Arabidopsis thaliana: one gene and its partner. The main gene of each other region encodes a partner of the protein of the gene in region 2 in a complex. Each region holds a gene or a part of one and is shown on either strand. Other genes may lie near its edges.

What was found.
Region 1: LSM6B (region 2) and LSM1A share a complex: the UniProt entries of both Arabidopsis thaliana proteins name them as parts of the heptameric LSM1-LSM7 complex.

What each region holds. Positions count from the first base shown.
Region 1 is NC_003070.9:6,606,108-6,610,153, reverse strand, and holds LSM1A (Small nuclear ribonucleoprotein family protein), read right to left. Parts: upstream 2,040-4,046; 5' UTR 1,867-2,039; coding exon 1,806-1,866; exon of another isoform or gene 1,658-1,805; coding exon 1,589-1,657; intron 1,502-1,588; coding exon 1,386-1,501; intron 1,283-1,385; coding exon 1,220-1,282; intron 1,070-1,219; coding exon 992-1,069; 3' UTR 785-991; downstream 1-784. Other genes in the region: AT1G19130 (RmlC-like jelly roll fold protein), read left to right, coding at 60-181, 289-609; AT1G19115 (uncharacterized protein), read right to left, coding at 2,669-2,688, 2,971-3,115, 3,241-3,542, 3,650-3,710, 3,798-3,803. UniProt on the Arabidopsis thaliana protein: Component of the cytoplasmic LSM1-LSM7 complex which is involved in mRNA degradation by promoting decapping and leading to accurate 5'-3' mRNA decay.
Region 2 is NC_003071.7:18,147,153-18,151,882, reverse strand, and holds LSM6B (Small nuclear ribonucleoprotein family protein), read right to left. Parts: upstream 2,687-4,730; 5' UTR 2,508-2,686; exon of another isoform or gene 2,309-2,507; intron 2,184-2,308; 5' UTR 2,159-2,183; coding exon 2,044-2,158; intron 1,260-2,043; coding exon 1,146-1,259; intron 1,051-1,145; coding exon 1,004-1,050; 3' UTR 588-1,003; downstream 1-587. Other genes in the region: AT2G43800 (Actin-binding FH2 (formin homology 2) family protein), read right to left, coding at 3,162-3,980, 4,062-4,315, 4,467-4,654. UniProt on the Arabidopsis thaliana protein: Component of LSM protein complexes, which are involved in RNA processing. Component of the cytoplasmic LSM1-LSM7 complex which is involved in mRNA degradation by promoting decapping and leading to accurate 5'-3' mRNA decay.

The DNA of each region.
Region 1 (4,046 bases), on a different chromosome or scaffold from region 2:
TATTGCAGATCATCTCGCAAGTTTGATCCTTTTTTATATATTTTTCTGAATCTCTGCAGTTAAGGTGGACAGAGCTGTGAGCACAAGTATCTACTTCTTGCTTCCATCTGGGAGCGTTTCTCGTCTTCATCGCATACCAATGGCTGAAACCTGGCACTTTTATTTGGGTGAACCCCTTACTGTAAGTTCAAAGCTCTTGTCTTTACAGTGAGTGAACAAAACTGTATAATGAGAAGAAGAATATAATCCATGTTCTTGAATATGGCTTCTTCTTCTTGCCTTGATCAGGTAGTGGAACTCTACGATGATGGGAAGTTGAAATTCACATGTCTTGGTCCTGACTTGTTTGAAGGTGATCAGAAGCCTCAGTACACGGTCCCTCCAAACGTCTGGTTTGGTTCGTTTCCTACAAAGGATGTTCATTTTTCTCAAGACGGGGCTCTGCTTAAAGCTGAGGCTAGAGACTCTGAGAACCATTTCTCTCTTGTTGGCTGCACCTGCGCTCCTGCTTTCCAGTTCGAGGACTTTGAGCTCGCGAAACGCTCTGATCTCTTATCAAGGTTTCCGCAACACGAGTCACTCATCACAATGCTATCTTACCCGGAGTGAAAGGGCCTACCTAGAGGAGACGCCTTATTGGCTCAATGGTTTTTGGTAACTACTAAGAGAAGGATACTATGTTTGCTTTGTTACTTCAACTTTTCATATGAATCATACAAAGGTTGTAACTGTACTTTGAGTTCACTTTTCATCTTTGTATCTTTGTTTTTACTGAATTGTGATTGATCAAATAAATGGCCAGTAAAGAACAGGCTCAACAATTTCATTCCATAAACAGAGCAGAGGATCTGCAACGACTAAGTTCTGAGGATTCATCAATGTCATCCACACATACACACATCAACTAACATTATGACGTTTAAGGATCTTCTGTATCCTCCATCTTGAGATCTTCTAGTTTCTACAATGCTGCAACACATAGGAAAATGCCCTAATCGAGATCAAGGAACTCCATTCTTTTCCGCATTGTGCCCTTTAAAAGCATTTCTTCCTTCTCTGCTTTCTGAGCCTGAGTATACGGAAGAGAGTAATTGAGGAGTCAGTAGAATCCAAAACACTAAACCAAATAAAAGCAAATCAGCTGTAGTACATTTGTGCAAGAAGCTCACAAATCAGAGCTAAAGCAATCAACAAGGGAGAGAAGGATATTTGCACTAACCCTTTTTATCTCTGCTTCTGGAACCTGAACCATATGAGCTGGAAGCTCTTCTTTTTCCACGTCCTAAGATCACAGAAACCCGATTCAAACACCGAAATCGTTCTTAAAAGTGGAAACTTTCATTTCAAAATGCAAGAGGAATTGGTTTGTTTAGTAAAAGCTTTACCAATTCACCAATCAAGACAACATTTTCTCCACGGATAATGTATAGACCTAAGGGAATATCACAGTAGAGATCACCCACAATGACTCTTTCATAAGCTTCTTCTAAAACAGCATTAGCTTCAAGAAAACCAAAAACAAACGAAACATTTCTTAAAACCATTTCAAAGACTTTGGATTTTCGGTGCAAAAGAGAAAGACAAGTACCAAATTGATCAAAGGACCGAAGTAGACCCATCAGTTTCCTACCATCACGAAGCAACACAAGAAGTTTCTCTGCAACAAGAAATCAAAACATTAAGAGACTATTGAATCATGTAGAAGAAGATAACATCTTCAACAACCATTGGGGATCAAAATCTTATTTTTTTACAGAATTCATCGCCGGTGAATCAGTAATGAGAAAGAGAGTGAGAGAGATTACTGTCTAGGTAAGCAGCAAGAGAAGTGGAGAAGAAGATATCATCAGGAGCAGCCCAAGACATTGGAATTCTAAAACTCAATCTCCTCCACTCGCATTTGCCTTTTTGACTTCTCAGTTTCCCAATTCCCGATCTTCCCTTTTCTTCTTCTCCTCGATTACTGAGCTTAAGAACAGAGAATCAACGAACCCTAATTTATTCACTAAGAGAGAGAGACTTGAGATCTATGGATCGTTTTCGTTAAGTCTGACGGCTCGCACGATTCTGTTCTGTCAAAGTTTGGTCAGACTGAGTTTTTTTTTCAATTTTAGGAAAAATACATTAAAACCCCAAAACTTCGTAACTATTGCATAATCAACCCATTTTATTTTGCATTTGGGTTTTCCTTCATTTCATTTTATTATTTAACAAGAAATCTCAGTCATTCTTCATTATTCATCACTTATTTCAAACTGCATAAATACAAATAAAATTATTTGATAAGATGAATATTTTGTAGTTTACATGAGCAAACAGATTTTCTTCACCACATTAAAATCTGAAAAAATAAAAACAAATCTATGATGAAAAATGGAGTTTGACAAGTAAATATACATCTGTAAACACTGATTATCAGAGATATTTTTATGACCCTTCTCCAATGTTATTCTTCATATCTTGAACAGTTGAACTTACACCATCACTCAATTGAGACCTGAAAAACATATTTTTGATTATTTGTCTTGAATCAGTGATCATGTTTGTTTGCTACTTTTTATATTTTACATAGAAAATCAATTTTTAATAAGAAAAAACTTTGGTTTTTATTTACATTCTATTATTACCATGACTATCAATCAGGTCCATTTAGCTTATTGGTTGATATCTACATCTCCAAGACAATATCTGTAACCATCAAAGAAATTTAAATTAATTTACCCTATCCATTATTCTTGTTTACATTTTTCTATTTGTTTATTTATCTATTTTTAAATTCTTACTTTTCATCTTTCTGCATTTTAATTCAGTCCTTATGATGTTTATTATATGCTTTTGACCTAACTAAATACTGCAATAAAGCCAGTCATGATATTCACTTGGTTAATTACACCATCTGTATGTTTAAAATAAAACTTTTTTTTTTTGCGACCTGAAAAACCAAATATATATAATTTTAGAAAATCTCACATTCAGAATCAGTCTTGACCCATTTGTTGGCGTCAACACTTGAACGAGCTTCATCCATAATCTTATGATTACTTTCCAAGTACTTCTTTGCTATAGAATTTGAACGTTGTGGATGTATCTTCTTGTTGAGTATTGTCCTTAGCATCTACACACAAAATAACATATGGAAAAAATGTTTCTAGTGTACATAACTATTATTGAATTCACTTCTTTTCATAATAAAAATAATATTTTGTTTAAAGATTGAATAATTTGATCATATATGCTTACCTTTTCCATTCGTGTGTTGTGCAATGAATCTCCTCTAGATAAATCAAGAAGAGGAGGTGGAGTTTTGAAGCCACTTGTGCAAACAAACATCTTCTTGAGAAGAAAAGAAAGCGATTTCTTCTTCCCGATAGTAACATCTGTATTAACCGGAGTTATATCTTTGCTAGAATCTGTTTCTTCTTCTTCTTCTTCTTGCTTGGGGAAGATATTGTTTCCAAGTGTTCCGATGGCTAAGAAGGTTTCTTCGTCTTGAGGCAAACCTTGGACTTCTTTACTCAAAGGAGGACTTGATGGTTCTTGAGCTATATATACATCATCAAACATATGAAACAAAAATATGAAAATATGCTCAAATGATTTATGCGAAGACTGTTCATGTAGTCTATGAATAATAAGAATATTTACTCACAAGAATCTGAAGTAGGCACACGCTTCTTTCCGCTAAGCTTTCTTTGAACCCAACTAAAAATCTGTGTAGAACAACAAGATCAAGATTTTTGCACGATCAAAGAAAGATCAACACTATTAATTTGATTTAGACATATATGAAAACCAACCTTCATATTTCAGAGACATGCATATATAAAAGCACATGTATGTGTGTGTTTATCCAAGAAATTTTCTTTTTCTGTCAATGTTCTCCAAGAAATTTTCTTTTTCTGTCAATGATCTTTTACTTCTTGAAATAGCTTTAGGAGATAAAGATGATCAAGTGGTCCCATGTTTTTAAAGACACAGTAAACACAAGTCCCAGAAGCCAGCAAAAAGCCAGCGATTAGAAAATTGGGTTCAAGTTTCTATACACC
Region 2 (4,730 bases):
ATGAATATAAACGGATGGAGAAACCATGTCTGTGTTCAGCGTTGGTTTTTTTTTGTTTTTATTACATTTTTGGTAAAAAATTGATGAAAAGAATATCGATGTCAAGATGTAAATACAAACACACACAAAATCGAAGCTTTTATTGTTATTATTTGGAGAAGTAAAAGAGATGGAAAAAAAATAAGAGAGAGCCGAAATGGAGAATGTACTAATTACTAAAGACGTGAAAAGGTTCTGTACGGCTCTATAATAGTCGACAATAAGAAAAAGGACCTTGTCTATTTGATGTATTCTTCAAGTATATCTGACATTTCCTTATTTCCTATCTATGATGTATGATTATATATTGTAACTTTCACTAAATCCAGTTTCATATTTTCTTATCACACAATCTCAGATGTCAACAATAGTTGTAACATCTCTAGTGGATCAATATTGAACCAAAGCAACCTTTATAACGACAAGTGTCTAGCCTGGACATGTGCACTGGAATCGAGCAACATTAAAAACAAATGTTTACTACTATAAACAATCGGTTTCTTAAGTCAAACAAAAAAAAAACGAAAGAAGAATCAAATACGATAGAATAGAACAAAATAAGCTATATTATTGTTATTCGATCAAATCATAAATACATTAATGATTGAAATAAGGAGTTTTTAAACCTTTGCTGTCGAAGAATAATTAAGAATATTACGAGAAAAGAAAAAAAAAATACATTAATGATTGTTAAGATGACATCAGATTGTGACGCAGTGATTGCGTCATCAAAACACGATAATTAGGCTCCAAAGACCAACAGTGATTAAAAAAAATTTCATAACAAATAAAAATCTAGCTATATCTCAGAATTTTGGAGATGATTTAGACACAAACTGAGTTGCGGAAGAAAAAGACATGTCGAATTCATGCAGTGGTGATAAACTCTGGTTGCTACAAATCCTACATTTGTCATATGCCAGAGGTAGAGAAGAAGATGAACATTCATGGTGATGAAAGAGAGCTATGCTCCATCTGACAATGTCCCCTTTGTTGTGCTGATGTAAAGAACTGTGGCCAACATAGAGCATATTTTTCAGAATTGGATATAAAAAAACATACTAAACCGATTTAAAGAGTGATGATGAATGTGATTTGGTTTTTACCATTGTTGCCACGGACAAAAGCGTCGCCATATGTGTTCTTCAGCTGGCCATTTACATACTCTTCGGTTTGCTCCATTGCGATGTTCATATATCCATCAAGACAAGTAAGAATGCCTGCAAACAAGAAGAGAGACAAAGTGTCATATGTAGATTGATACAACATGATATGCCAAAGAAAGAATAAGTCTGACTTTTGTAGATAAACCAAAGAAAGATATTCAAGCTAGAAGTTCTCCTAGTCCTGTAAGTTATATTATAGAGTTCAAGAGACCAAGGTCTTAATTTCAGGTGATAAAGGCTCCATAGCAAGGTGAGAGTCCATATTCTATCAGAAGCAAGAGTAAATGCATCTCAAATTCAACCACATTTGGGTCTGTTATCTCATGAGAGAAGCTCTCTCAATTCACAAAGCTATCATCTGAATCTAATATTCCTCTCAAATTCCAAAAAGCATATGTTTCAAAGCCGTATGTTAATTTCCTGCTCATCTAGATTATATTTCTCAAAATCCAAAGCAAATATCTCAAGCCGAAATGTATTATTCCTTCTCAAACACAGAGACAAGATAGGGAAAAAACAAGCAAGCTCAACAAAAATGAATCTTCAGAGATGGGACTTTCAAATCAAATGAGAATCAAGCAAGCAGTTCTTAGACAAAGAAAAGAGTCATTCTGTAAACCAACATCCAAAGGTTCCAGTAACATGGCGAGAAAGAAAGGCATTGAGACATCTAAACCCAAAGTGATAAAGAAGTTTACATAGACTTCCGATAGCTTAATAACCACCGAAAATCAGAAGCAAACTATAAGATATCATCACACAAGGCAAAAAAAAAAAGAATTTGAACTGGATACATCTTAGAGGAGAACACAAAATGCAGAAAGAGAGAGAGACAGACCTCGATAATCAACACCAGAGTTGAGCTTGACAACAACTGGTTTACCACGGATAGATTTCAAGAAATCAGCAGGTGTCTTAGTTGTTCCAGAAGCTTTCTCTCCAACTCCACTCATCTTCTTTGCTAAGAAACCACAATATCTGCCCACCAAATTAGATCCAAATCAAACAAGACCCCTCAGAATATCCCACAAAGCCAACAACTTTAAGCAACAAATTCATGTCAGCAATTCGAGATCCATAAATCAATCAAATTACATAAAGACCTTGAGAAAAGGAATCATCTTGAATACCAAACTCGTAGCATCTCAACGATTACTCCCGAATCAAACAAAACTATGTGCCCTAAAACCCTAAACCTCAGACCAATTAGGAAATGCGCGAATGACTTGGATTAAGTAAAAAGAGAAACTTTGAAATGGATTGCAGAAACAGATGAGTCTGGGAAATCTAAGAACAACGAACCTCGAGTCCACGAACAAACGGTAATTGGCTAGAGACTTCCGCTCGATGAAGCAGCCGAACAGAGCGAAGAAGACATGTGACGCATTTACAAATAAGTAAAAATAAAATTACAATTAAAAAGGCCCAAGCCCAAATTCGAATCAGCCCACATGGAAAACAATCCGAAGTCCAAGTTTTTTTATTGTGGTTTAATTATGTGCGAGATTAAAACTTTTTAGTCAATTTTAAAATTTTAATCGTGAAAATGGTGAATTTTCAAAATTCGTTGGGAGAAGAACTTTGCAAAGATGTTTGACATCAGCAATTTGGAAATGCCTAATGTGAACCAAACAAAAGAATAATTTCAGTTTCTTTTTTTACATTTTGTAAATAGTATAGCTTGCAATAATTTAACTTTTCACAAGACTTTAGTTCTTCTATCGTTTTAGGTTTAGATCAATAAATACATCTACACGTGACATAAATAATTCAACAGAGGACTGGAACACGTACAGAGCCCGATGATAGCAACTTGCAACAATCTGCCAAAATCTATTTAAATTCGCCTATCAATAAAAATATAAATATGTATAACACATATATTACTTGAGTACGTAGCAAATGAAACCAAAACATTAGCATACACCGAACCAAACCCGAGCCAACAGTTTTCACTTAGAACGAGCCATCGTCGTCGTCTAGAGAACCCGATGGACTTAGCCGTGAGTTGTTATTGATAACCACCGGAAACAGAGGCGTGGCGGTCTGGTTCGATGGCGAATGTAGTGGCATGGATCCATACACCGTTCTCTCGTTTACGCGTCCAACTTCTTTACACACTTGATCAAGAATCGTCAGAAAGTCTCTGACCACAGCGAAAATGCGAAAAGGATGAGTTTCCGAGTTCCCGTGGAAATACTCTGTTACTTCTTTAACCATCTTCATGACATTGTCTCCATGAGATTGTAACTCTGTGATCTCTTTCTCACCTTTGTTCAAGAACGAGTTCATTGACTCCAAGAATCTCTCTACACCTGTTTCTTGCTTTAGCTCCGTGATTACTTCCTTGACTTTCGCTATTCCTCTGGCGATTTCCGCTGTTTCGTTGATGAGGGAATTTGAATCCATTGCCGCTGCTTTCTTGACGTTAATCAGCTGAGAGCTGAGACCTGAAACGACTTGCAACCCGAGTTTCTTGAGCTCTAGGTCATCTTGGAATGCGGATTGCTCGGCCATGTTATCGCCTATATGGCTTTGACTCGGAGTAAAAGGAACCCGAGCTCCTTCAAATTTTATGATCTCTTGAACCACAAAATGCAATAAGGTGGTTTTCCCATCCGCGCCTTTGATATCTACCAGTTTTAAGAGCGTGTCGAGCTTGAAAGCATGTGCGTCCCCTCTATTGGTTCCTATATTCATCCGGTTCCCAGTCTTGAGCACGGCTTCTAAAAGCTTCAAGAACATCCGCGTGTTCTTTAACTCACCAGTAGCAGCCTGAGAGTTTGATCAAATGCATATGAATGATCTGTTTGATCAGCAGACATACACTTATGAGGTGGACAAGTAGAGTTTTACCTCGAGAGTGTCGAAGGATCTGTTAAGGTACTCGATTTCTGATTCGAACTTGACAATGTAAAGCATTGCATCAATCCTCTTGAAGGCGAAAGGAATGTTCAACAATGCTTTGAGGAATTTCTCTGCAGGTCCTATCTTGGAAGGAGATCCATCATCATCATCTTTAAGCTCCTTAAGCTTGTCCTCTTCTTCTTTAGTAGGAGCCATCTTAAGCAAGCATTCGAGAAGCTCGGGTCCAAGCGTATCCGAGTTACCTGATTCATGAACAAGAAAGTGATTAGACATCAACTAAGTCAAACAAGTCAAGCTTCAATAATCACAGACCAATTTGAGGAATCATCAAACCAATGCAATGTTGCAGTAAGTGCGAGTAACCTAAGCAACAACAGATTGGAAATTACTCACCTTCTATAAGAGCTTCACATACTTCATCAGCAGTTACATTAAGAGCTCTCAACAAAATAGCAATGTTGTGTGACTTTCTTGGATCAAGAAACCGATTCTCCTGACTCACGGATTGAACAACGCCATCTCTTGTTCTCGAAGTTGGATCATTCACCTTGAACAATGTCTCTATCATTTCTTCATTCACTCTGCAAAAACACAAAAGAATCATATCTTAGTCGTGTATGCAAAAGGATAGATCAAGTCTTTAATTCAGATTCGTTA